Cricetulus griseus: one gene and its partners. The protein of the gene in region 6 interacts with the protein of the main gene of each other region in a pairwise test. Links are inferred from orthologs where the notes say so. Each region holds a gene or a part of one and is shown on either strand. Other genes may lie near its edges. The genes, in order: Mrpl44, Fabp4, Crmp1, Nod2, Smarcb1, Vim and Txlnb.

Region 1 (3,946 bases), on a different chromosome or scaffold from region 6:
ACACACACACACACACACACACACACACACACACACACACACACACACACACTTCTTTTCCCCATGATTAAAAAAAAAAAAAGTAGTTGTTATAACATACAAACCTAGGTTGAACTGGCTGTCTCCTGTGACCAGATTGGTACCTGGCACAACTGTCATCACAGAGGTGTCATCCAGTAACTGATGGAGGCAGATGCAGAGACCCACAGCCAAACATTAGACAGAGTTCAGGAATTCTGCGGAGGAAGAGGACAAAGGAGCGTAGGAACCAGACTGGTCGAGGGCACCACGGGAAGACTCACACAATTACTCATCTGGGCACATAGATGTCTACAGAGACTGAACAGACAATCTGGGAGCCGGCTTGAGAGTGACCTAGGCACTCTGCATAAGTGTCACATTTTTGTTTCTTTTTCCTCTTACGAGACTCCTAAGATAGGGAATTGGGCTTGTCACCTACCTTTTTACCAGCTTTTGGGACCCTACGCATACTGGGTCGCCTTGCCCAGCCTCAATACATGTGGAGGTGCCTAGTCTTATGGCAATTTGATATGCCATGTTTTATTGATACTCATAGGAGACTTGCACTTTTCCTGGGTGAAGACCGAAGAGGAGGTGATTGGGGTTCGGAGGGGGAGATGTGGGAGAGGGGTTGGGAGAATGGAGACTGGAGAATGCGGTAAGATGTAAAATGGATAAAAAATAAAATGCAAACTTTAATTTTGGTTAAGTCAAACACATTTCTGAACGTAAGGCCTTTGGCAGTGAGATTATTTTGGGAGAAGGGTCAGGTGAAACCTCGAATTTAGGAAAACATTTGCTCAGTGGTGGCAGGATTGATGTTCTACAACCTAAGGCTGAATGTAAACAAGTGTTTCTCTCTTGAGAATCTAACTGCGTTCTTCAAACTGAAAGTTCAACAAGTTTTTGTTTTACTTCAGTGGGAAATAAACACAATAGAGACTGACAGGGAAATGCAACTTTTCCCAGCAATTTCTGCACCCATACTCAGATCCTGGGCAGGAAGGAGCACTTGCGCAGGCGCAGAATACGCAGTCCGCCGCCGACCCGCCCTTGTGGTGGGTGTTTCCTAATTCTGAGTCCTCCCTTTGCCGCTCAGTTCCTGGGGAACTGTGTTCTGGCGACACCGGTCCGGCTGCCTTCCTTCCGCCCTTCGTTGCCTTGATCCAGCCATGGCTTCTGCTGTGGTGCGGCTGCTGCAGCGGGGCCCTCGCTGCCTCTTGGCTCCGGCAGCCCCCACACTGGTCCCCCCGGTTCGGGGAGTGAAGAAGGGGTTCCGGGCAGCCTTCCGCTTCCAGAAGGAGCTGGAGCGATGGCGGCTGCAGCGCTGCCCGCCGCCACCCGTGCGACGGTAGGTGGGCGGCCGAGGACACTGGGCTGCAGCTGCAGGCAGGTGGTGGGGAGGCCGCGCGCGGCCTGGGGCAGAGGAGAAGGGCGACACTGGCCGGGCTGTCCCCTGCAGAATCCCAGTAACCCCAAATAGAGAAATGGGGCCTGCTAGAGAGTGATCGCTTGAGGTTGGCCCAGCTTTGCGACTGCTCAGTCTCCGGCCTGAGATTCTTAGGGCGCCTTTAGGGGCGATAGCATCATTCTACACACAGTCCTGCAAACCAGGGCAGAAAAGTTCACTTCTGTGTAGAACTGAACTACGTGTCCACTGTCCGGAGTGAGAGGGGAAACGTTTAGGTTTTTGATCTAGTTAATCTCGTCGCTGGCTGGCCAGACACAGAAAAATAGCCATACGCTCTTACGAAGTGCACCATGCTTGCTTATGAGCCTGCTTCTTGCATCTTCTGTTTACGATGTCGCTGTGGACAAAAGTACACGTAGATGTACTTCATTCTTAGTCTGACTGGCACTTGACCGCCGTTAGATTGTTAGTACACCTAAAGAGGTGGGAACTGTCTCTAGTGTTTGGGGAACTTACTCCTGATGTGAAATTGTGGTTACTACTTTAATCTTGGTCTCCAGGAGAACACTGATCATGTTTACACTAATTCTTGAATTGTGTATTTAAAGTGTATGAGCACACACAGCCCCTTGTGTCTGCTCGGCAAACACTCCACCACTAAACTATAGCAGCCTCAAGCCTCACCATGGTTATGGATTTTTTGTTTGTTTGTTTGTTTGTTTTTGGAGACAGGGTTTCTCTGTGGCTTTGGAGGCTGCCCTGGAACTAGCTCTTGCAGACCAAGCTGGTCTTGAACTCACAGAGATCCGCCTGCCTCTGCATACTGCCCAGCTTAACATGCTTATAATACTGGTACTAGCTTAAGTGGACATTTCTGAAATTTAAGTAAATAGGATATAAACTAAATATAATATACTTTTAGTTTCTGGTCTGAATCTATATAGTTAGAATTTGTTTATACTTAGGTGTAAAGCATAATTTCATTGTCAGGGCAGAAAGAAGAAATTGAAAAGCTTGAACAATGGTCTAATGTAATGCCAGCAATCACTTTAATGTGGCAGTTAAGCCAAAGGGAAAATTAATCCTAACCATGTGTGTAGAATGTAACAAAGACCGCCAGTATTCGTCTGCGTTGCTTTTTTGTATTTAAACTGTTAGAACTTGACGTTAAAAGAAGCAGACTACGTTTTGTCCCTTTGTATAATTTCCTTTATCTAATAAAGCTAGAGCACAGTTGTGCATGGTGTCCTCCTGTCCTTACCATCTCTGTCTCTGCATCCTCAGTTCCGAGAAGCCAAACTGGGATTACCATGCGGAAATACAAGCCTTTGGGGCTCGGTTACAAGAAACCTTTTCCTTGGACCTTCTCAAAACTGCTTTCGTCAATAGCTGCTATATTAAAAGTGAAGAGGCGAAACGTCAGAAACTTGGGGTTGAGAAAGAAGCCGTTCTTCTGAATCTTAAGGACAATCAAGAACTATCTGAACAAGGGCTGTCTTTTTCACATAAGTGCCTCACACAGTTTCTTGAAGATGAGTTCCCAGATTTGCCCACCGAAGGCATTGAAAGTCTAGTTAGCTTTCTTACTGGTGAGGCAGTTGTCTGTCATGTGGCTAGAAACTTGGCTGTGGAGCAGTTGGCCCTTAGTGCAGAATTCCCTGTCCCCCTGCCTGTATTGCGGCGAACTTTCTTTGCAGTGATTGGAGCCCTGCTACAGAGCAGCGGACCTGAAAGGGCTGCGCTTTTCATCAGGGTGGGTATCGCTAATTCTACTTGTTCACACACACACACACACACACACACACACTTGATGAGGACAAACGAAAAGTGTCTTTCGTTCATACCTTTGATATATCTTTATAGAACAGACTGTTTCTCCCCAGAAAAACTGTCAAAGACCTAAACTTTTTTTTTTTTTTTTTTTTTTTTTTGGTAATTTTGTTGTTATTTCAATTTTTTTTTCTTTTGCGGATAGAGTGGAGTGCAAATATTAAATGCTGGGTTGTGAGTTCTGAAGGATTTAAGTCATTTTCAGCTTCTAATTTTTTTGTTTGTTTGTTTATTTGTTTGTTTTTCGAAACAGGGTTTCTCTGTGTAGCTTTGGAGCCTATCCTGGCACTCGCTCTGGAGACCAGGCTGGCCTCGAACTCACAGAGATCTGCCTGCCTCTGCCTCCCGAGTGCTGGGATTAAAGGCGTGTGCCACCAACGTCCGGCTAGTTTTGTTTTTTGTTTGTTTGGCTTTAAGGGGAAAGATTTATTTTAGCTCAGGGTCTAAAAAGGAATGTAGCCTGCCATGGTGGAAGGTGCGGCTGTGGGGGTGTGTCCTTAGGAGGCAGATAGCCACATGCTGTCTTCTACTTTGAATTTTGAAGTCATATTGGTCATATTGCTTGACATTGTTTTCTTAGGATTTGAAATTGAAATGTTTTTTTAAATTCAACTGTGATTTTTTGTTGTTGTTGTTAAAACTACAAACAAACAAGAACAACCTATGGTATAACTAACTCTGATA
Region 2 (4,026 bases), on a different chromosome or scaffold from region 6:
AAATCATGTCTTGTAGGTTGTCGAATTAGAAGCCAGGCCCTCTCCTTGCCCCCAAATCCTTATTCCTCACCTTCACTTTCCTGTCATCTGCGGTGATTTCCTCAAATTCCTGGTCCAGTTTGAAGGAAATCTCAGTGTTTTTGAATGTGCTCTCTGATCGGATGGTGATCACATCTCCGTTCACACTGATGATCATGTTGGGTTTGGCCATGCCGGCCACCTTTCTGGTGGCAAAGCCCACTCCTGGAGTTAAGAAGGGAAAACATGGCAAACTTACATTTTTTGTCCATGAAGAAAAAGATGCTAGATTACTTGACGCTCCTTTGAAACAAGCTAAGCAGCTAAGCATATTGGCCCTAATCCTCGAGGATACACTCAGGAGCAACCTATCCAGATTCACTCTTAGGTTGTCCCCTCTCTACTTTAGGAGACTCATTGATTTCAACATAATCTATAGAGATTAAATCTTCATACCTCCATGTGTATGTTTTTAGATATATGTCAGCATATCTATAATATACCTATAAGAATATGGCAATAATGCATGTGTCTATATACTGTCTCTATTTCAGATCTCTGATTGAGACCATTTGACCATTTCATTCTTTCTTAAATATTAAAAGTTGTATTTAAAAAAGAAATCTAAAGTCAGAGACCAGGCCTGAAGTAGAGTTAGTGGGTTAAAGGTTCATCTATTTTGAGTATACAGAAACCACATATCACAGCATTTGTTGCCAAGTGTAATTTTCTAGGTTTCTTTCCCATATTACTCCCTCATGAAATGAAGATCTCTGATTAATTTCTCTAAAAGGAAAAATGCTTCCTGCATGCCATGCCATTTTAGAATGCCAATACCATTCCCAATATTGTGCAAGGAAAATTAAAGGGAGAATCAGTAAATATCTTTTGAACTCAATAAATCATAATTCCATTGTTTAAAATAATTTGGAAACTAACACTTTGCATCTCAGTCACTCAAGTTGTGAGGTCTTCTTTGTTTAAATGAGGGAAATGCTCTCCTGTAGAGGGTGAGCAACTTAAATCCTTAGATGAACAGTAATCACTTGCGTTCTCTGTGTATGTTACACAGAATTTGTAGTCACCGATGTGCTAACTTTTCCAACACAAATGCTTAAACAAAGTTTTTTTTCTTTGACTAGAAGTGACCACAGGTTAGAATTAAGGCTGTCCTGAGAAACACAGCACAAATAAGTGATGCAGAGCCGGCAACTTGGCTCTTTGTCTAAAAAGTAGCCCCAGTGAGAAAATGATGTAGTTCTGCCTTGAACCCTCACTCTGCTGCATAACACATCATTCAGTTCAGTCAATCAATATGAGGGAGGGGTGAAATGTGGAAGACTATTCCAGAGGGACTGAGACTAGGAAAAACTAAGCTTCACTTGTTTCTTTCTGACTTTATTTGACCACAGAAGGCAATACCTGCCCACTGTGCCTCAGTTATAACTGCCAGTTCCATTCAGGAAATACTTACTGCCTTTAATTACGAGTCTTTCACAATTTAAAGTGTCACTATAACTTAGATATGAATATTACAAGTACAAAATGTTTGTTTCAAAATGTCAGTAGCTAAAGGTGGTCTAAAACCCTGGTGTTTCTGGGTCAGTACACGGGAACTAGCATACTAAGCTGTACCTAGCAGATATGCTAAAAGGTCAGTCATGCTGAAAGTCCTGATTCTTATCTACAAACAGGAAGACAATATTGACAGATAACCAAAAGTTCCCACTGTATAACTCAGGGAAAGGTTAAGCCTTTGGAAATTTAGGGGATTCTGTCCTAATGAAGATACTCTGTAATATGGGATCTGACCTTACGGAGGTCATGGAGAGAGGGGGTTCAATGAAGAAGCTCCCTGAGAAAGTGCATCACTGGTCGATGGCCACTGCATTGCTGCCAGTGTTATTTAATGACCACTCACACAGCAGCATGCGAGCCGTGCTGACAGAACCTAAATCATTTCGAACCTCTGCTATCTGAAAGGCATGTTCCATATGTGTTTCACATGCCAACTTTCCCTTTGAATTACTCACTAAATCTATGACATCCATATCATTCCAAACCAATGAATGTTCAACCCCATGAAGAAAAATATTTCCTAACGTCAAGCAGTCTACTGTGATGTTGATATCGGGAAAAAAATGCTAAAATATATTTTTCAACATGATTTTTTTTCTAAGATGGGCAGTGTCATGACTTCAGTTTTAAGGAAAAAGTACTCCGTGCAATAAAAAAAAAGTCTATTTTTCTTTCTGAGTTATTGCAACATTTTTATTTAAAAGGAGATGTTAAAAACAAAGAGCCAAGTGCAGAACAGCGACACACGACACAAGGGTGGCATTGAAGGCAACACTTATCATTCTGTGGATCCTAACAGACTTTTATTTAGACTCCTTTCCCTTTCCCTGCTGGCTCACCTGCAGGAAGCACTAGGTTGAACCTTTCATTCAGGAGGCTTCTAGAACAGGCTCTTTCTTGTGGCTTCTACAGCCTCCATGCAGAAAACAGCCTTTCTCTCAGCAACTGCTCCCAAGCTGGAAGCAGGCTACCAGCCCTCTCCCCAGCGGGGGAACCCCTCACCCCCCACAGCACTCACCCACTTCTTTCATGTAATCATCGAAGTTTTCACTGGAGACCAGTTTCCAGGTTCCCACAAAGGCATCACACATCTTGTGAACCTTCTGAGATTTCTCTACCAGGTGAGAAAGAGGCTGCAGGAGGGGGAAGGTGCTATGATCCTCTTGAGTCCAGATAATTCCTTTTTAAAGATGTCCCGGCCATGTGACTGTAGGAGGGACCAATGGAGGTTGGCCCCAGATCATTTCCTTCATGGCTAGCCCCTGTATTTTTTCCTCTGAGTCATGTTTTTAATAGAAATTTCTCAACTTTGGTTCTGCCTGGCAATGATCAGTGGACTTAGAGTACAACTTATTTTTAACCATGAACAGAGTATTTTAAACGTTCCTGTTTTGCCTAAATGCTTAGTGCATTGAACTTCCCCCTATTATTCCATATGTATTTGTGGAGGAGACAATTACCTTGGGACGCACTTTCACCCTCTTGTTGAGTTTTCATTTTACTAATAAGGCAATAATGTGCCTCGTTCTGTGATTAAGGACATAAAGCCTACCTTAGAGATTGTTAGTCCTAATGGCTCTTTTGTTAAGACTGCACTGTTTCAGGAATTATAACAAAATAAACAATGACACTTGAAACTGGCCTAGATTTTTTTTTCTTTTTTTGACACAGTGTCTCTCCAAACAGCTCTGGTAGTCCTGAAACTCACTGTCCAGGCTGTTCTTGAACTCACAGAGAGCCTCCTGCCCCTGATTCTGGAGTGCTGGGATTAAAGGCGTGTCTACCACATCCTGGCCAAAGTGGCCTAGATTTGTAATTTCAAATACTTAGTATGTATTAAAAATTTATTCATATCATTGTTCAGGAATCCAGACCACAGATTTAATTAAATTAAAATTAAGCCTCATTCTTCTCACTTCCTAAATAATTATATAGTATTGATTTTTACAGACCCCTTAAAGATGGGGCCCAATTCAAAATATGCTCCTCATCCCATTTCTGAAATATATTGTAAGTTTTAAATTTATACAGATCTAAAGAGTGTGGCCTTACATAAATTATCAGATGTAATGTGGTCACAAGTTAGCAAACCTGTTTTTTCTTTGACATGGTGACTAACCTGAGATAATGTTATAAAATAATCTTGGTTCTCAATCTCCCTGCCTCATACCCGAATGATGGAAGAAGTTCACTTGGACCACAACACCTGTGAGCATACCTACATTTCAAGGTATGGGACAGAGATGGATTGCTACACTGTGCCTCACTGAGACGTACCTGCTGGGCATCCGATAGACTCCCAAGCCCATGTCAGTATCCCAAAAACATGTCCAGGGAAAGGGATACTGCAAACAAGGGATTTTCTGTAGGAAAATAAGCTACTATAAAAGTTTGATAAAGTTAGCTTACAGTGCCAAGTTTTAATTGCAT
Region 3 (3,500 bases), on a different chromosome or scaffold from region 6:
CCACCTTCAGTCTGAGCCACACCTTCTGGTGGCAGCCTATATAAAGAACACAGAAGTAGGAAGATTTTGTTCTTTGCCTGCTTGCCTTCACTCTCTCTGGCAATTCCATTCCTTCACTGGCATTAGAGCTTACTTTTGGGGGATTTCAGCATATACTCAAGACCATTTAAGACACCAAGTCTCGTTTGTGGACTTAACAACTACTGGATTCTTGGGCTTTCCCTTGGTAGACAGCCATTGTTGGATTAGCTGGACCACAGCATCCAAGCCACTCATATGATTTAATATATAATATACATACATATATATGTATATACATGTATATACATATAAAATTCTATCTGTTATGTTCCTCTGGGGAACCCTGACTAATACAATGAGCTTGGGAAGATGGCTCAGTTGGTAAAGTGCTGACTGTGCAAGCATGAGAATGAGTAAAACCCTCAGAATCCACATTTTAAAAAAAAGATGCTGGGTGCACATGGCATCCCTCCCTTCTTGCAGAACAGTTTTGTTCAGAACCTCACAGTACAGAGGAGAAAACAGATCAAGGCCAAGTGCCTTGCCAATGGGCACACTGCACACAAGTGAATGTCTCTTATCTTCACATGTGACATGACACCCTTCCCCAGTCATCTCACTAATAAAGGATGTACCACATCTTTTACAGTCTACTTTGTGCAGAGGCCCTTTATGGTAGGAAGGAGAACCTTGGACCACTCACCTGAGCTATCAAGTCCCCATTTTCTGCATGGACTAAGATCACAGCTCCCAGGCCCTTAAGGAAGGTGAAGGCTTCATACAGCTAAAGAGGAGAAATGAAGCTGGTGTGAAATCAAGGTGCAGCAATGCATGTGTTTAAAGGCTGCCCCTCTGCTCACTCCTGTGGCCTCTGCAGACTCCATGCATCACCATCTTCCAGATCAAGAGGCAGAAGGCAGGGTGGAGCCAAACTAATGAGAGGCTCATGATGCCAGTACAACACCTCCATCCTCTTAGTCTTCCTTCTGGGTACAAGACTGCTGACCCTGAGATACATGCTTGCAGGTGTAGGAGGCGGGGTCTCAGAGGCAGGAAGCAGATTGAAATAGGCCCAATCTGAGACCCACAGCTGACATCCACACCAGGGGCCTCAGTGGATCAATGTAATAACCCATGTGGTACATACTACTGCTTCCATGAGCCCCAACCAACTTCCTGCTTCTAGATACCTTGGGTGTCTACATCAAAGGCCTTGAGGATCCTAAATATGTTGTTATCTGCTCCAAGGTGCTTCTTTGGAGGGCAGGACATGGAAAGGGCACCATCAGCCCAATTCTTCAGTAATAGCCAATGAGAAATTCCTAACTGTCCTTTAATTTCACTTGTATTAAATCACTCAACATTCTGACAACCTCTGTGAGATAGTATAAGCCTCAAGCCCAGAGATGGTGGGAAAGATGTTCCCAACTGCCCAGCAAGCACCAGATATGGCAGGCTGGCACTGGTATCCACAATTTTCTCTAGGAGGTAGAGGGGATATGATGGTGGAGACAGGGTAGGTGCAAGCAGAAAGCCCACTCTTGGAAATACACAGTGGTGTCTTCTTCAGCTTCTTGCACCCTGAGCCAGAGATCTGACACCCTTCTGATGAAAAAACAGACAGCATTCCTCAGTGCCTTGCATCTGTTTGAAGGAGGCCACAGCTCACCTCTGCAGAGCCAGTGTACTATGGTCCCCAGCCTCCCCTGAGCCCTAAGGAAACTGTCCAGTCTGCAGGAAGTACATACATATCCAGAAGGCAAATCCTAAATGTCTACAGTGGGCTCCAAGTAGCTGTTAATGAACTGCCCAGAGAATGCTGGGGAAGAGCTATGTGAGGGACACCCTACCAAGGATCCCAGGCTCCACACTCCCATCTCTTTTTAAGGAGGTATAAAGGTACAGGATGGCCAATGGTCACACTGCACTTAGTGCTGAGAGTGAGGCCTGAACCCAGGCCGTAAGTGCTCCCCTCCCCCACTCATCACAGCTGGGTTCTGCCTGTACTGGTGAAAAGAAGCTCACAGCAGGGCCTACCTGGCTGTCAGACATCTGGTACAGGTCCTTATATGCCATGTAGACTTGGAAGGAGTTGACACCTGTTGCAAGATAAGATGGAGAAAAGTGTGTTTGAGTAGAGTTGAAGGTCTTTCCAATGACCAGGTACACAGTAGAAATTGTCAAGAGAGAAGTTGCCACAGGATCCACAGTGGAGCACCCAACCCAGCCTGGAGATGGCAGGCAGTCCCTAGAGCCTTCTGAGAAAGATCAAACCTGAGCTGGATCTAAAGGTAAATGAAGGAGTTAGTGGATAGAGAAAGAGGGGACTGGGAACTGTGCAAGAGGGGAGGGATGACCATGGTAGGGATAACCTCCATTCTAGAAAGTGCCCTCCTCCAGCTGAAACAAAGGGAACATGAGCTTCCTAACATTTTTTTTTAAATTGTAGTACAAGGTGAAGTTCAGTGCCATAACCAGCTCAAGCTTCATTAAGGTGCATGGCACACAGGATGTGCAATCAACTGCTAAGTCTAGTGTCTAAGTCTTCCCCCGCTAGGGGTGCCATGGAGCACATTCTGTGATGGAGAGACAGTCCTGGGAACAAAGAGGACATGTGGAAAGCAAGGGGAAGCATGGGGAAGCTTGGGGAATCCTGCAAAGAGGAGGTTGAAGACTCTAGGCAGAGCATAGGTGAGGCATGGATTTAAAAAGAAGAAAAGGGCAGGACTTGATCTTGAGGAGCAGTTTGGGGGAGCACAGGACAGACAGGAGAGAGCTTGTCTCTCATTCCTCTTCAAGCTGCTTGAGGACAGAGGACATGCCTCATGGGTCACTTTGCCTTGCTCCCCTGGAACCTGCGATGTGTGACTCAAGTTTGTAGATAGACTATGAAAATATTTGGAGGAGAAAAAAAGAGTCTGAGGCAAAATATTAAAGGGGATGAGACTTCTTTTGCACTCAGCAACAGAGACAACAAGCCAGAGACTTCTGCTGTGTGAAAAACAGCTGTCATAAAAATTCCTTCTCTTAAAATAACGGGGAAAAATTAAAAATGAAAATTGTTCTCTAAGAGTGGTATAAAAATATCAATGACTAATCAAGTATACACAAGTAAAAATATCACAATTAGAATGTGTATGAGGGAAGCACAAATACAGTGATTAAGACACTGTATTCCTTACAAAGATGGGCCTTCTGAAAATATGAAACCTCAATATACTCACAAACACAGAAGCCATATCACTGTCACCATCAACATCCAGGTTCATCTGGTGAACTGGAAACTCAGACACTGACTCTCTGCCATGGTTTGAATGTGATGTGTTTCCCATATATGTGCTCACATCGTGGGGCCAGGCTGCCAGCTGGTGGACTTTGGGATCACAACTGGATCCTGAGGGTTCTAACATCCATCCATTCAGGGAAGATACACCCAATGCCCTACCCTTTCACCTCTCACTGTTTCCTGAGGGGGTGAA
Region 4 (4,118 bases), about 55 Mb from region 6:
AAGGCATAGCCCCACAGACCTATTCTGCCAGTCCCCTGCCTCTGAGTAGGCCATCTTTCTATCTCATCTTAAGCAGCTGGAAAAGAAGACCTGGGGTTGATACTATCGTCCTGACCAGCTGAGGAGTCCTTCATTAGTTTATCTTGTTCGGCTAAATTTGGAAGAAAAAGCAAAACGATAGATGCTCTTGTCACCTGTTTCATAAAAGCTGGTCTAGTATCCTGTTCCTGCACCTTCCTACTCAGTCAGACTCGTCCTCTCCAGGTTAAACAGGCTGTTCTGCTTCCCTGCCTTTTCTTCTCTATCCAGCTAGGGCCACCTTGGAGTCACTCTTAGGCTCTGCAAGACGGAACCCAAACAAAGGGGGCACCAGCTTGCTGAAACAGAGGGTCAAGGGTATCTACAGAGGCCCCTCTCAGCCAGGTGGTGGTGGCACATGCCTTTAATCCCAGCACTCAGGAGGCAGAGGCAAGCAGATCTCTGTGAGTTTGAAGTGAGCCTACAAGAGCTAGTTCCAGGACAGCCTCCAAAGCCGCAGAGAAACCCTGTCTCAAAAAACCAAAAAAAATTAAAAGTAAAAATAAAAATGAAAAAAAGCCCCTCTCATCCCCAAGCCCCCAAACACACACACACACACACACACACACACACACACACACACACACGTGCTCATGCACACGCCTGTGCCCCAGCACCTCCTTCCTTCCCAGGATCATAGGCAGCCTGGTTTTCCTTGAAGTTCCCAGCTGAGGATTTGTTTGAGAGCTGAACAATCCTTGCAGTGTCCCAGGCCTCCAGCAGATGGGAGAGGAAGGGAGGTCCCCAGAAGAGTGTCCTGGTCCTGGCTGGCCAAGCTTTCCCTGGGGCACTAACCCCACTCTCCATCTCCACTGAGTTGCTCCCCAGGACATCAGTTCCCATCATAGAACAAACAAACTAATTCATCCTTCATTTCTGCCCTCCCTTGTCTAGGCCTGAACTTCCCAGTCCTCCCTTCATCCTTCCCCCCCACCCCACAACCATTACAAGTGAAAATGCAAACCATGACTTCCAGTATTTGGCCTTCTGTTCCTGGTCTTCCTTTCTGACAAGGACTTTTGTTCTACCTGTTCACTCTCCTCCCTGGAGCACGTCTCTTGAGGCCATGAAGGATTTCTCTGACCTTCCTTCCCACATGCTAGCTACTCTTTCTAGCCATTCTGCCTCCAAGGCTGATAACACACCTCTGTACTGCCGCCGAACTGAATCACTGCCACTTCTCTGAGCCACTCTCTCCCCACATAAGCCCACCTCCCCACAGGCTTAAATTCCCAACTATGTGGCAGTGATGCCTGAAATGTCACTGACAGTTCTGGACAACATTCAACATCATGTGGTACCTACCAGCATCTCCAAACAACTCAATCACTGGACCTTCCTCCTAACAGCTAGCTCCTTTCTCAACTGAAAGTGGCCCCAAACTGCCAGAGTCATCCTTGACTCTGCCGCTCTCGGGCATCACAGACCATCCACCCAGCCTTCAACAGACCCCAAATCTGAAAGCCACAGTTTCTCTCTCCACCTCTCTCTATACCACAACATAAGCCCTGAAGCCTTCTCATGGTTCCTTCATCTGCCATGACCCCCTATAGGTCAATGTTAGTCACACAACTAGATGAACCTGCCAGATCTTAAGTCAGAGCAGAGACCTTATCTGTTCACAGCCCAGCCCACTAGTGGATCTCATCATAGTCAAAGCGAAAGCCAAAAGCCTTTATAGCAACCTCAAGCTCAATACAAGAGACCTCAACTTCCACCCCTTTCCTCCTAGCCTCCATTGACTCCCACCCTGCTGTAGCCCCTCACCTGCTTCCTCACTCTCAGAACAAGGGAGCCTGCTCTGGTCTGTGGTGCTCCTGCCTTTGCCTAAGCTTTATGCTCACAGGGCACTCTCTGTCCCACAGATAGTCACATGACTTGCCCATCACCTCCTTAAGATTTTGTTCAGTGGCCACTGTCTCAGAGGGGCCTTCCTATGCTATGTAGAACTGTGGTCCCCAAGCCCTGTCCCAGCATTTTCTCCCCACAGTCCTTTTCATCATCTGCCATGGCAAGCATTATCATGATACACTGCTGGAGCTCCTCTCTGGACCCTGTGCCTCACCCTGTGAATAGACTGGTCTGAATGAATGAGAATGTCTTTATTCCACACAGCTTGGGGAGGTAGCTGTGGAACCAGAGAGTAGCCATTACAAGGCACAGACTTTAGCCAATGGGCTAGTAGGAAGTGCCTGCTCACTGGGCCACAGTGAGTGCTGACCTGGGTGAGAGAGAGGGGCAAAGTGTGGGCCAGTGCCAGCTTGGAGCTGCATGTGGAGACCACCTGGCATCAAATGGCCAAGAAACCAGGGCCTCCAATAGCCTCACAACAGACTGACTGGAAGAGAAGCAACAGAGCTGTCACTTGGTCTTTTCCCCAATTGGGCAGAGGTGGCTGATGGAGCCAGCTTTTCTGACCCTGCAGAACCCTGGCCCTAGGGGGAGATCATACTCCCCCTAGGGCAGGAAAGCCAACAGCCTGCCCCAGGCCAGGACCCTGCAGGATCTGAAAAAAAAGAACAACAACAAAAAAAAAAAAAAAAAAAAAAAAAAAAAAACAGCCATGAGAGTTTCAACCAGCTACAGACCTACCCAGAGGCTTGGGAGCTAGCTTGTCCAGACATAGAGGCACCAATGACTTGAGAAGCATAAGAGAGGATCAAGCTTGAAAGCTGAGCTGGCACTGGGCAGGTGGCCGTGGGTCTCTCCAGGCAGAAACAGCTTTTGGCCCCAGCTCCCACACTTACAAATGAGTAAGGACAGGCAGGAGACACCTGCAAGGATCAGGGAGCAGCAGCTGGGGTCTCTGAAGACCAAAGACAGAGAAACTGAGGCCCACGGAGAGGGGACAACTGTGCCAGGAATGGCTCCTCCTGCGACCCAAAGCAGGATTTCCTCCTTCTGGGTAAGGACCTCACCTGCAAGTTTTCACCTCCACTGTCCCAGCCACCCCCAAACCTCAGCCTCCCCTTAGACTTCAAAGGATCCTGGGGCCTCAATGGGCTTCCCGTGCCCTAAACCTCTTCATCTTCAGTGACCACAGTCTGACACGGGTCCCCTCTCGAGAAGCCCCTTTCCTTCTACAGCCTATCTATTCTGCTGATGATTCCACAGGGAAACAGTTCCTTCTGGAAGGAAGCGCAGAGCCAGTTAACACCATCATAGGGATGGGACATTAGGCGCTCGTGTTCTCCACCACACCGAGCCCGACCCCTCCCCCCCCCCGGAGCACTAAGTCTGCCCCCAGAAAACCTCTTTTCACCCACCCACCCACCACCCCGAGCACCCGCAGACCACAGAAGCAGCAGGCAAGCACTCACCGCCAGCTGCAGCGCGGGGTTCCTCCGCCCGCCTGGTGGTGACTCCCTCCGTGATCTTGCCCCGCCCGTCGTTCCACCTACTTAGCCAGTGACCCCGCCCACTGTGGCGGATTCGGAAGGGCGGCCACACCCCTCCTGATTTCCCTCTGGGGACAGGTGGTAAGACAGGTATCTTGGAAGAAGCCTGCCTGCGGTGCAGTGTATCCTGCCCTTGTGTGGCCGGCTTTCTGGGCCACCTTCCAATTAGGAGGGAACCATAGAGTCCCGAGAACAAGAGACAGGAAAGCCCTCCCTGTCAGCAGGAACCGATGCACCCTCCCAGGGATCTGTAAGCCCTTTAGTCTTGATGGTTGCATTCCCAGATGGCTGTGCTGGGTGGAGACTTACTAGGACTTTAAAGTTACTCTCTTCCCCTTGGCCGTCAGTCCCATGCAAGCTGAGGAGAGGAGGTCACAGCATATTAGCACTTGCCTCCCACACAGTGCTGGGCTCTACCATCATCCTAATCAGAATTCAATAGTGTTGTTTTGTTTCTATTGCATTCATTTGATTTTATAACTTCCTATTCTTAATGTTATTTTTAATGATTTATTTAAATTTTATTTATTGTGCATCAGTGTGAAGGTGTCATATCCCCTGGAACTGGCGTTACAGTCAGTTGTGAGCTGCCATGTGGGTGCTGGGATTTGAGCCAGGTCATCTGGAAGAGCAGCCAGCTCT
Region 5 (3,500 bases), on a different chromosome or scaffold from region 6:
TTCTACAAAGCTGTCCCCTGACCTCCACACGCATGGCATGTCACACACGTGCAATCTCTCCAGCCTACAATAATACAACTTTTAAAAGTTATTTTTAAAAGACAACTCCAGCGGCAGAGGCAGGCAGACATCTGAGCTCGAGGCCAGGAAGGTCTACAGAGTGAGCTCCAGGACAGCCAGGGCTACATAGAGAAACCCTGTCTTGACTGGGTGGTGATGATGCACACCTTCAATCCTAGCACCAGTGAGTTCAAGGCCAGCCTGCTCTACAGAGTGAGTTCTAGGACAGCCAGGGCCACAGAAAAACCCTGATCAAAAAAAAAAAAAAAAAAAAAAGAAAAGAAAACCAAAAACACCTGTTTGGACCTGAGGAGGAGATGGTTCAGTTGGTAGAGCGCTGCTCGTGTGCACAAAGTCCTGGGTACCATCCCCAGCACTATTATAATTAGGCATGATGGCACACACTTGTAATCAAAGCATCGAGGAGGTAGAGGCAGGAGGATTCTAACTTTAACACCATACTTAGCTACACCGCAAATTTTAAGACCAGCCTGGGCCACATGAGAACTGTCTCAAAAAAGAAAGAAGGAAAAGGTTTTTTCAAAGTTCTACCTGTGTGTATTCAAATCTATTGTTTCTTTTGGAAGTTTATCTGAGTCACAATTTTTTTTGGGGGGGGGCAAATGAGTCCCAGATTCAGAACATTCCAGAACTCAAGACTTGGCCTATGTTTGTTAAGAATGTCAAAGATACAGAAGAAACTTAGAAACCAAGGTCAGGCAATTATAAACATAGTGAGTGAGCAACTTTCACTTTACCCTGTTCTTCAGGATGAGACCCCCACACACACATACCCCCACATGTCTCTGGAGCAAACTGAGATTAGGAAGGCATACCTGAGGTAGGTGGGGGGCTCTGTGCTGATGGACACAGCCTTGTATTTCTCATCGTTGCCATCCAGAATCTCTTCTACCTCCGAGGCTTTCAGTAGCGTCACGCTGGTGGCGAGGGTGGTGTACCCATGATCTGTAAGCAGAGAAACCCCACTGTGGTCATCCTGCAGCAGTGTGAACAAGCTGACAACCAACTTGATACAGCACACGAGGTCCTCACATGCAGGAGGTGGGGAAAGCAAGGTGTCAAACTCAGTACTGCTGAGTGCTAGCCTCTTCCAAAAGGGCAATCCGGACTGAGGCTTTACCTAGACATCTCAGTGGAGAAAGCCTCTGGTGGGATGGATTTGGACGAATTTGCCTCTTAAGAGCACTAGCTCTGGGGCAGACATGTTTGGGGGTAGCTGCAGCTTAGGGGCTGCCAGGAAGGCTTCAGAGTAACACCCCAGTGGGAAGAGGTCTGACACCACCACAATCTAAAACACAAAGCAAGATGGGAGACAGAATGAAAGATGAATCCTCTTCTTTTAAAACAAGAGCCCAGAGAGTTGGAAAGAACTATTTCACACCAAGCAAAAGTTACCATCCCTGAGTCAGGCCAGATGTGGTTGTCTGGAAAACAAGACAGAACTTCACACCACGTGATATGCCTCCCCCCCCCTCCCCGCCCAGTTCTAGGGAACCTCTGTCAAGCGCTGCTACTTATCTGCAGGACCTGCTTAGCTTTGCTGGAGGACTCACTTGGTTATAGGAAAGGAAGGCACATGGTAGCAAGACCACTAAGGCTTCATGGGAACTCAAGGAAGGGCAGGCAAAGCTAGGTAGCCACCATGCTAGTGACTATATTCCACTTTTGGCAGAGGGGACACAAAGGAAACTGTTTCAGGCAATAGTGGATTCTTTCAGAAGTGGATAAAAAGCAGCTCTGGCTCCTGCATTAAAAGAACCCCAATACACCACAACAGACAACTACATTAGCACATTAGCACCTACTGACAAGACAGACTACAGAGTGCTCATGAGCACGCATGCATGCACGGACACATGCACCCAGGCCCAGGGCAGCTCTCTACAGGGTGCCTCTGCTGAGTGGAAAGCAGTTTTGCCACCGGCCAAATGGCATGTTGCGCCCATACCCAAATGTTCTTCCTAGAGGCCCCAAAATGTATGAAGAGCATCTTCACTCTGCACAGAGTTGCCACAGCCCAGACCTTGCACTAGTTTCACTAGCACCAGGTGGCTCACCTAGCAAGCCCCAGGCACAGGGCAGGCCACGTGGAATGGGTACATGCACATGAGCTTAGCATACTGGTTGCCAAGATGAAGTATTATGAGATAAATGTGCTCTGGGAGGGAAGCGGTGAAAGCCCCAGAAGAAAGTGAGGGCTGGGGCCACCGTCTGCTACTAGGGCTGCAAGAAGGACGACTACGGCAACACACTCACAGCAAATGGTAGCAAATCACAGCATTCCTAAAACGTTTTGAGACCAACATGTCTTCACAGCACCTGCTACTACCCTGGCCCTGGCCCTGGCCCCTCACATACCCACTGGCCCAGCCAGGAACACACAACAGTGGAGCACCAAAGACTCGCTGAGCTACTCTCAACTGAACCATGTGTGCGCTGGCAGGGTGGCCTGCCCCTGGGATGCTCCCTACCGAACTAAGGTCAGGCTGCAATGAAGACACTGGAGTGAAAACGTTTTATCTTCATGACATAAGCGAGTGGTTTTGAAACAGGTTTACAAACCCTCGTGAAGACGCACCCTTAGTGTTAGGTTTTGTTTTTTTACCATGTGACGATGCAACTATTTTCTTCCTCTCTTCCACAGTGGCTAGTCGCCTCCAGAGTGAGGGATATCTCTTGTACAGAGAACCTCGGAACATACGGAGGTAGTTTCCCACCTATGAGTAAAGCAAGAAGGCTCATTATGAGGGTCAGACCATCGATCACTATGCCGAAGGGCTCTGGCAGAGAGGATTTGCTGGATCAAGTACATGAGATACAAGGCCTCCAGACGCCAGCCTGTCAGCAGCCATAAAACACATTTTGCTGACATCAAGGGTTCAACAGCAGTGCACATCTGGCTGGAATCTGTGTATCCTGACATCAGAACCAAGTTCCAAAAGATCTGACCAGATGTCTATTGGGGAGGATCCCAGACCTCAGTAAGGAGCTTGTGATGTCGATCAGGACGAAAGATTTCTTGGCACTTTTCTGAAATCTGAGACTCCTGTGACCTCCTTTCATCTTAAGAAGCAGACTTTGATATTTTTACAAGGCAATAAACACCAAAATGTCTTTAATTTTAGACAGATGCAAGATAATTTGTCCCGCTGCCTGTGTTGCTTTATTTAGTAACAAAACTCAAACCAGAGACACCAAAAGAATTTTCTCAAGTCTAAAAAGCCCTATATTAGTAATCCCTGGACTATCTTAGAAATCACTACTTCCCCCGAGTAATAGCTTAGTTTGCTTGTAGCAACACTTAAGGACACCCTTCATGAAAAGCTAGTCCTATGATTTTTATAAAGATCCATGGCCTCACTGACTTCAGAAATGATGTCTGCAGTGTCACACAGTGGGGACAACCAGGGGACACGGTG
Region 6 (4,100 bases):
CAAAAAGGAAAATATATGATGTAATCCTGAACTGTATTGGTTTTGCCTTCTCTGATTTTTTTTTAAATGCCCCTTGACTCATCCTATAGGATATTTCTATCTTTCTCAGCCATCATTGTATCAATTCAGTGACATCAACTATTCCAGGATGGTGGAACAAAACACAATGAAACTATATGTAAACTCCTTTACAGAGTTTATAAAGTGATCTATAAGCTTTCCACTAAGTCCTAAACAAAAACAAAAACAAAAAAAGATATAAATGATGTCAGACCAATCTTTTGAAAAAAATTCAGTGAAATGTGACTTCTTTATTTAAGGGAATGAAACAGTTTAATTTAGTCCATAAATAAGAAATGTTGAATATTCACCCAATGCCTTACAGAAAACATTTCTTGGGTGATGACCATATACCCCCAGTGACAAAAAAAAGTAACCAAATATTCTTGTACTGCTGTTGAGTATGCAAATATCTCTCACCTTCATAATGTCACCCTAGAGAGTTTTGTAGCTGATCCTAATGAATGTTCCCAAGGATAAGACTGTACTGGCCATCTTTCTGCTTTGGTATGCTGTTAACACCTAACTTTGAAGCAAAAACAAACAAAAATCCCTCCTTCGTATGAAACTCCATTCTTCAGTCTAGGATTTATCTTTAATTGTGGAGGGTGCTAACCAGTCTACAACTCCATAAGAGGAACCCTTTCCGGGAGGACTGTAGCTTTAAGAACTTTGTACACCACATACTTCACAAGCTTGAGCCAGACATTAGATAAGGGATGTTAGCAAATACTTGTGTCCAATTGGAACTGTGGTTACATCATTACATATTCAATAAGAATGTAGCCTGTTGCAAAGCTGCTCTGGGAACACAAAGGCTCCTATTATTTCTGTCCAGAGCCACCGCATTTGCCAGAATGTCGGTATCCACATTCCATAGTGAAGCCCATAGAAACTTTTAATACCCTTCAGCAGCGGGAACAGATGGCTTCCTTTCACCCTTGTTAGATTACAAAAATAGTTGTGCAACGACACTTCAGCTAACTTTCATGCAGTACCGAACTTCGAAGAAAGAAAGGGAACTTGGCTCAATTCCAGTTAAACTTTCTCATCCTCCAGAGTATTCTACATTTCAAACTTGAGGACGCAACTGTGCTTTGTGTGACCTTGTGAAAGTTAGCTGATTTGACTTTCACAAACGGCATTCTAATCAAACTGTAAGCGTTCAGAATCAGAAGGTCAACGTTTCAAAAAATGAAAGGGAAATATTTTGGGGGAACAGAAAAATCTGAATGTCCCCTCCCCGGGGGAAAAAAAAAAAACATAGAAAAACTTCATGTTGCAAGGATTGACCTAAACAGTGGAGTTTTTCAATATGTGGACTTTCTGCCACCAGGGGCTTTACAGGCAGACTTGAAGTTTTGCACCTTTAAATCCTGGGTGAAGTAACTTTTAGAACTGCGAGTGGTTTGGGTGGGTGGGGCTGTTGGCTACAAACCTGTCTGAAGGACTGCAGGGTGCTCTCGGCTTCCTCTCTCTGGAGCATCTCCTCCTGCAATCTGAAGCAGTAGTACATTAAGCAGAGTGGAACTGGGAAACCACCAGGGGCGGGGCGGCCACACCCAACCACATCGCAGCCAAGCCAGGAGGCCAGAGCTGCTGTGACACCTCCACCCACACCAGCGACAACAGCTTTGTCGAGCTCCCTGCCCTCAGCAGGTGTTAGCTGGAGTTGGGGCACAGCCTAAAAAGACAATCACTGCCCTTCCCTAGACCTGCACAAGGAACCTCAGTCCCAGCATCCCAGCCGCCTCTGCCGTCTCTTTGTCTCAGATCCTTCACACTCATCCTCTCTTCCTGCCACCAGAAGGGGCTAGAAAACTTTTTTAAAAGTTCAGGTGAAAAGCTCGAGTGGAGCCAGAAGGGAAATGTTCACTGCAAAGTTTAGGTTCAGGGTGGGGCCGCTTCCTCTGCTATCCTCCAGACAACCACCACCCCGGCCACATCCCCAAGGGCGTGGCAGCCCTCGAGCAGGGCCCAGGACTCTTCTCCCTCCCAGAGCCCCACCACTCGCGTGGATCATGCCTTACTTCTCTCGCAGCCGCATGATGTCCTCTGCCAGATTGTCACGCTCCACCTCGACGCGTGCCTTGTCATTGGTGAGCTGATCCACCTGCCGGCGCAGCTCCCGCATCTCCTCCTCATAGAGGTCGCCCAGGCGCGACTTGCCCTGGCCCTTGAGCTGCTCGAGCTCGGCTAGCAGGATTTTGTTCTGCTGCTCCAGAAAGCGCACCTTGTCGATGTAGTTGGCGAAGCGGTCATTCAGCTCCTGCAGTTCTACCTTTTCGTTGGTGCGGGTGTTCTTGAACTCGGTGTTAATGGCGTCCGCCAGCGAGAAGTCCACCGAATCCTGCAGCAGCCGCACGCCCGGCATGCTGCTCCGCAGGCGCACCGCAGAGGATCGGGTCACATAGGCGCCACCAGGGGATGAGGAATAGAGGCTGCGACTGGTGCTGGGGCGCAGCGCGCTGCCCAGGCTGTAGGTGCGGGTGGACGTGGTCACATAGCTCCGATTGGAGCTCGGCCGGCTCGAGGTGCCGGGACCACCGAACATCCTGCGGTAAGAGGACGAGGACACGGACCTGGTGGACATGGTTTCGAGGGCGAAGGTGGGCTAGGCTGCTGCAGCTGCAAGGACTGGCTCCGATAGGAGAGCGAGGGCACGGTGCAGGCGAACCGTGGGAGCGCTGCTGTCTCTGGGGTCCCCGAGCAAGAGTGGCAGAGGACCGGACCCCGCCAAGGGCGCTGCTTTTATAACACTGTTGGGAAAGAGGGTCCCCTCCCACTGTCATCCTAGCCGCGGGGCGCGCCAACCAATGGGCACCCAGAGAGAAGTGAGGAAGGCGGGAGGGGGAGGAGGGGAGGGGGGCTCCCTGGAGCCTTCTTCCAGGGCCGTCGGTGATCCGACACAGTCCCCTTACTTCTTAGACAGGGCTAGGACTTTCAGGGGCTTTCTGGATGATCACACAAATTCTCTGCTCACGCCTGGGTTCTAAGAAAGGAGGGAGGGATCGAGGGATGGATGTGTGGGGGAAGGGGAACTCCGGAAAGTTGAGCGAAGTGGTCCCTGGCACTGTGCCAAAGGGGCGTGGGACAAGGCGCGCCGGTGGGAGGGGCGCGGTCTCGGCGCTGCGGTCTTCTGGGACTGGGTGGGTGGGAAGACCTGTGAACAGAGGAGCAGGAAGAGCCAGCAAAAGCGGTCCTGCAGATCGGAAGGCGGGGAGAGAAACAAAGAGGGCCTGAGATTGGGGTGTGGGGCGGAGAAGCACTTAGCCTAGGATACCAGGTTCAGGGCCGGGCTCTTGGACACTTTGTAGAGGGCATGTTTTGGGTGGTCGTATCCTGGGATCTAACGGACTCAATCCAACTCCAGAGGGCCAGGATCCAAGGCCTCTGGAGTAAAGCCCAGGGGACCAGGGTGGGGTCGCTGAGTCAGTGGTGATGACTCACCCAGCCCTGAGGGTGAGATCGTCTAGCGGTTCAGGGAAAACCGTTAGTTGAGATTGACTCCAGACTCTGAGAACTCCAAGCTCATTGTCCCAAGTTTTTAACCAACTCTGAGCACGGCCACTCTTTTGATTGTTTTATGGAGACACCAGTGTGGTGAGTTCTCCTTAGGAAAAAGCCTCTGGGACACAGAAAACATCCCACCCCTCCCAGACCGCAAACATACTCAGAAAGGCTTTTCTTGCAAAGTTCCCTCCCGCGTTTCCCTCCCTTCTCTTCTTCCTGCATGAAACCACACCCTAAGTTCTGGGTGAAAGAGGAAACTACACTGGTAGTTTCAAAAACAAGCTCAATGATCACGGCCTTTTCTGAAAGTGGAATTCATTAAAAGATAACCCGAGCCAGACAAGAATTCATTAGGTATTGGGAAAAAAAGTCCAATTGTCCAATTTGATGAATGAGTTCAAATGAAAGGCAATTACGTAACTTAAGAGATACACTGAAGAAACAGATTTGTGTTGATTTTAGGGCACTGATGCAGGGGACAAGATTCTAGTGACTGGTCTGGACAATGTCACAGCTCCTTTCCCCCA
Region 7 (3,500 bases), on a different chromosome or scaffold from region 6:
AAGTGATCAGTCTATTATTTTTAAATTGAGTAATTAAGACTGAAAGAGCTCTCCGGTGTTTTTCTAAGTAGCTTCTTTTCTCAGACAATTATTGATATTTTTGGCTCTCTGTCTCACTTTTGCATGTCAATTAGCTTTGTGTCTATGCCTTGTCATGCAGAATTCATTAAATTAAAATAAATGCTGAATTTTTACAAATTTTTAAAGTGCAATCTAAGGGATGGAGAGATGGTTTAGAGGTTGAGTGTTGGCTACTTTCTCAGAGGACCTGGGTTTAGTTCCAGCACCCACACAGCAGAGCTCAACTGTCTATAACAATAGTTCCTATGCCTTCTTCTGGCTTCCTTGGCCACTAGGGACACATGTGATGCACAGACATACATGCTGGAAAAACACCCAATCGTATAAAGTAAAAATAAAAACAATTAGATAGTAAATGAAGGACCATCTAAACAACCAATCAAAATAAACAAACAAAAAACTCCACCTAGCAAGCAAGAAAGAGGCATGGCATTTATTTCACTCTGGGCCTGCAGCTGTTGTTATATGTAAGCACCTTGCAAATGGAATATCATTTAGCTTTCCCCTTCTGACCACACAATCAGATGATGGAGGAACCATTCACAAAGGTAAAAACTTGAAGATCACAAATGAGCAAGTAGCAGAGCCAGTATTTGACTGTAAGTCCTCTGGTTGTAACTCATGCTTTTCCAGGTAACAGAGGCCTGTGTCTATGCAACAGCTAAGAAATGTGTCATTCCAACGTGCCACATACCTTCAGTGTCTTGTTGTGCCTCTGCAGCTCCCGACACAGACTCTCAAGTTTGCTTCGAGCGAGGATGGCTCGGTTGTGTTCACTCTGAAGCTGGTCCTTCTCTCTCTGGATCTGTGCCTGCTGCTTCCGTAGGAGTTTTAGTTTCTTTTGCTCAGCTCGATGCTCATCCAGCTAGACATGGGGATTCAAGCAGCAAAGAAATCGGCAGGGGTGTCTTTGCAGCTCACAGAGAAGAAGCAAAGCCTAAGGACATTCTGTGTGGTTGTTTAAAACTATTTTTCATCATTATCTGCTTCTCTGACAGCTCATAAGTTTCACAAGTCCCACTCCTGTATAATGTGTAGGTATAATTTGTAGAACATAATATGTATATGCTCCATAAATATGTATATATAATGTGTATGTACATAATATGTATATATGATTTTCACATAACTATTACTTCTATTAGCCTCTTCTCTGATTTTTTTTTGGATATCTAGAAATATTTTTCTTGTTTCTGTCTCATGATGTCATCTGGTGCTACCCTAAAAAGAAAGACACACTTGTAACTGTGTGTCTGTTCATGGCAGTATCTTGTATTCAGACCATGGCTAGCAATTTTGTTTGCTTGGCTCACATTTCACTCTCATAACTCCATCTGAAAATAAACCAGTGGTGACAGTTTTAAAAATAGGAAAGAGAAAAAACAGCCTCCTGGTAACATAAAGTGCAGTTATCCTCTTTATAATTTGGGGTTTTAGATGTGGACTCTTTGGGTATGGGAAAGCAAGCGAAATCATAACACCCAAACACACACAACACAGTGGGCAAAAGGCAGATATTGATAACATTCCCTGCTGCCCAACTTTGTCCTCAGCCTCTCTATGACTACAGTAAAGACATCATGACCCTTGTTTCTGGTGATCCAGGTGAAGTTTATTCCCATACTGTCCATGTTCAGATACTAAAATATGAGTGTAGGCTTGCCAGATATGATACAAGATACCTAAGGAAATAGAACATCCATGTGGCCACATGCAAGCAGCAGACTTTGGTCTAGAATTGTTCACTCTACTGGACTTGGTTTCTTTAGGGCCTGGGTGTTGCCTAAGCCAGGAAGGGACTGGTTCTATCAGTAACCATATTGGCTAGGAGCAAGGAAAATTCCTGGGAAGCCATTGGGTACTTCTAGATGCCAGGTATTCCTGGAGCCTCATAGACCCTAATGGAAATGGATGTACATCCCTTGTGGATCTTGACCACATTTTAGTTTCCCTGTTTTAAAATTTTTTTCTTCCCCCTGAACTATTTGAAGATTGTCACACTTCCTTCAATTCTTACTTTATTTTTAGTTCTACCATGTTGAATAACTATTAAAAATCCTACTCAGATTAAACCAAGAATATGCACATTTGATATTCTAAGTTATACCCATATGCAATTTCTACTTTTTAAAAATTAACATTGGAAAAAGAGAACCATGCTACTAGGAATAATGATTGGCCTTGATTCCCTTCTTGAAAAGCCAGTGATCCTACATGCCAAACTTATGTTTATAAGATAAATGTGGTCCTTTTGTTTTGTACCATAGTGATATTTAATCTTTGGCTGTGTTATAAAATCATGCACATTAATTTCCTATGATTAGAGCAAGATTTTTCTTCCTTGAAATTGATGTATTGTGTCATTATAGATTAGACTTCAGTTTTGAGGGTTAAGCTATATGTCAAAACTTTGCAAGTTCATCACTGTTGACAGAATAGACAAAAGTTTGTATTGTGCAGAATCCTCTGTATTATGGGCTGTTATGTGCCCATCAACCTGGGCCCCTCTATCTACTGTGTGACAGTAACATATCTAATTGTGACATGCAGAAATATCTCCAATAAGAGACATTTATAGCTCCTTGGTAGACAAGACCAAAGCTTTCTTTGTGTTCCCTGAAACAAATATATACTTTATGTGCTTTAGAAGGTGGAAGACAGATGATTCCTGCTTTGCCATATTTAATCTTTGGCTGTGTTATAAGATCATGCACATTAAAAATTTAGCCAGATCTATTTTCCTTAGGTTTAAAATGAACTACTCTGGACTTCCTACATTTTTTAATGTTTGGATGATTTTTTTCTTTTCAAATAGTTCAGACTTTGGTGTTTGTGTCTGAATGGGGGGGTTTAATGAATTAATGTGAACATATTACAACCAAGTCACCCTCAGCCCAGATCTGGCTGTGAGGTTAAATGATTCATGTAGGCACGGTTCTGGAAATTTGTAACAGGTATTTATCTGAAATTTCTGTTCTTTCTTCTTCATTAAGTTAAAAAAAAATAAAAGCAAATCAGTGCCAATGACTAAATTAGAATTGTATTAATGATTCTTTTTAAGTATATAGAAGTTGAAGAAATTTCCAGAAAATGTTTTTCTAAGGCCATTTCTGAATGTAGTCATGAAGCTTCCTTACTTATTAATGAACAAGTCCTTATTTATTGATGAACACAATGGCAGATAATATTACAGGCTTCAGGCTCTGTAAGCATGAGTGAGCTATAGTGACAGTTTGATTTAAAGAATTAGAGTTGACAGTTTACTCCATATTAACCATTATATTTCAGACATTTTCTATATTAATATCCTAATTAATGAGCAAGGAAATAATTACTTACATGGAGATAAAAGAACTTTTATCTCCATTCAGATCATTAAAATTTTTCATGATTTTTTTCCCTGAAAAGGAAATGTAATT

The links.
Region 1: the proteins of Vim (region 6) and Mrpl44 interact in a two-hybrid assay, tested with the Homo sapiens proteins (2 studies listed by BioGRID and IntAct). The link is inferred for Cricetulus griseus from reciprocal best matches to the Homo sapiens genes VIM and MRPL44.
Region 2: the proteins of Vim (region 6) and Fabp4 interact in a two-hybrid assay, tested with the Homo sapiens proteins (2 studies listed by BioGRID and IntAct). The link is inferred for Cricetulus griseus from reciprocal best matches to the Homo sapiens genes VIM and FABP4.
Region 3: the proteins of Vim (region 6) and Crmp1 interact in binary tests that used the Homo sapiens proteins (3 or more experiments, as listed by UniProt). The link is inferred for Cricetulus griseus from reciprocal best matches to the Homo sapiens genes VIM and CRMP1.
Region 4: the proteins of Vim (region 6) and Nod2 interact in binary tests that used the Homo sapiens proteins (3 or more experiments, as listed by UniProt). The link is inferred for Cricetulus griseus from reciprocal best matches to the Homo sapiens genes VIM and NOD2.
Region 5: the proteins of Vim (region 6) and Smarcb1 interact in binary tests that used the Homo sapiens proteins (3 or more experiments, as listed by UniProt). The link is inferred for Cricetulus griseus from reciprocal best matches to the Homo sapiens genes VIM and SMARCB1.
Region 7: the proteins of Vim (region 6) and Txlnb interact in binary tests that used the Homo sapiens proteins (3 or more experiments, as listed by UniProt). The two-hybrid records come from large-scale screens. The link is inferred for Cricetulus griseus from reciprocal best matches to the Homo sapiens genes VIM and TXLNB.

What each region holds. Positions count from the first base shown.
Region 1 is NC_048595.1:432,481,998-432,485,943, forward strand, and holds the start of Mrpl44 (39S ribosomal protein L44, mitochondrial), read left to right. Parts: upstream 1-1,146; 5' UTR 1,147-1,193; coding exon 1,194-1,372; coding exon of another isoform or gene 1,373-1,410; intron 1,411-2,716; coding exon 2,717-3,185; intron 3,186-3,946. UniProt on the Homo sapiens protein: Component of the 39S subunit of mitochondrial ribosome. May have a function in the assembly/stability of nascent mitochondrial polypeptides exiting the ribosome.
Region 2 is NC_048595.1:137,722,241-137,726,266, reverse strand, and holds the start of Fabp4 (fatty acid-binding protein, adipocyte), read right to left. Parts: upstream 2,801-4,026; 5' UTR 2,688-2,800; coding exon 2,615-2,687; intron 244-2,614; coding exon 71-243; intron 1-70.
Region 3 is NW_023276807.1:106,236,692-106,240,191, reverse strand, and holds part of Crmp1 (dihydropyrimidinase-related protein 1), read right to left. Parts: intron 2,121-3,500; coding exon 2,059-2,120; intron 806-2,058; coding exon 725-805; intron 1-724.
Region 4 is NC_048596.1:164,271,074-164,275,191, reverse strand, and holds the start of Nod2 (nucleotide-binding oligomerization domain-containing protein 2), read right to left. Parts: upstream 2,801-4,118; 5' UTR 2,729-2,800; coding exon 2,671-2,728; intron 468-2,670; exon of another isoform or gene 1-467. UniProt on the Homo sapiens protein: Pattern recognition receptor (PRR) that detects bacterial peptidoglycan fragments and other danger signals and plays an important role in gastrointestinal immunity.
Region 5 is NW_023276806.1:262,704,482-262,707,981, reverse strand, and holds part of Smarcb1 (SWI/SNF-related matrix-associated actin-dependent regulator of chromatin subfamily B member 1), read right to left. Parts: intron 2,799-3,500; coding exon 2,660-2,798; intron 1,027-2,659; coding exon 897-1,026; intron 1-896.
Region 6 is NC_048596.1:218,981,783-218,985,882, forward strand, and holds the start of Vim (vimentin), read right to left. Parts: upstream 2,801-4,100; 5' UTR 2,654-2,800; coding exon 2,091-2,653; intron 1,560-2,090; coding exon 1,499-1,559; intron 1-1,498. UniProt on the Homo sapiens protein: Vimentins are class-III intermediate filaments found in various non-epithelial cells, especially mesenchymal cells. Vimentin is attached to the nucleus, endoplasmic reticulum, and mitochondria, either laterally or terminally.
Region 7 is NC_048595.1:271,868,300-271,871,799, forward strand, and holds part of Txlnb (beta-taxilin), read right to left. Parts: intron 947-3,500; coding exon 776-946; intron 1-775. UniProt on the Homo sapiens protein: Promotes motor nerve regeneration. May be involved in intracellular vesicle traffic.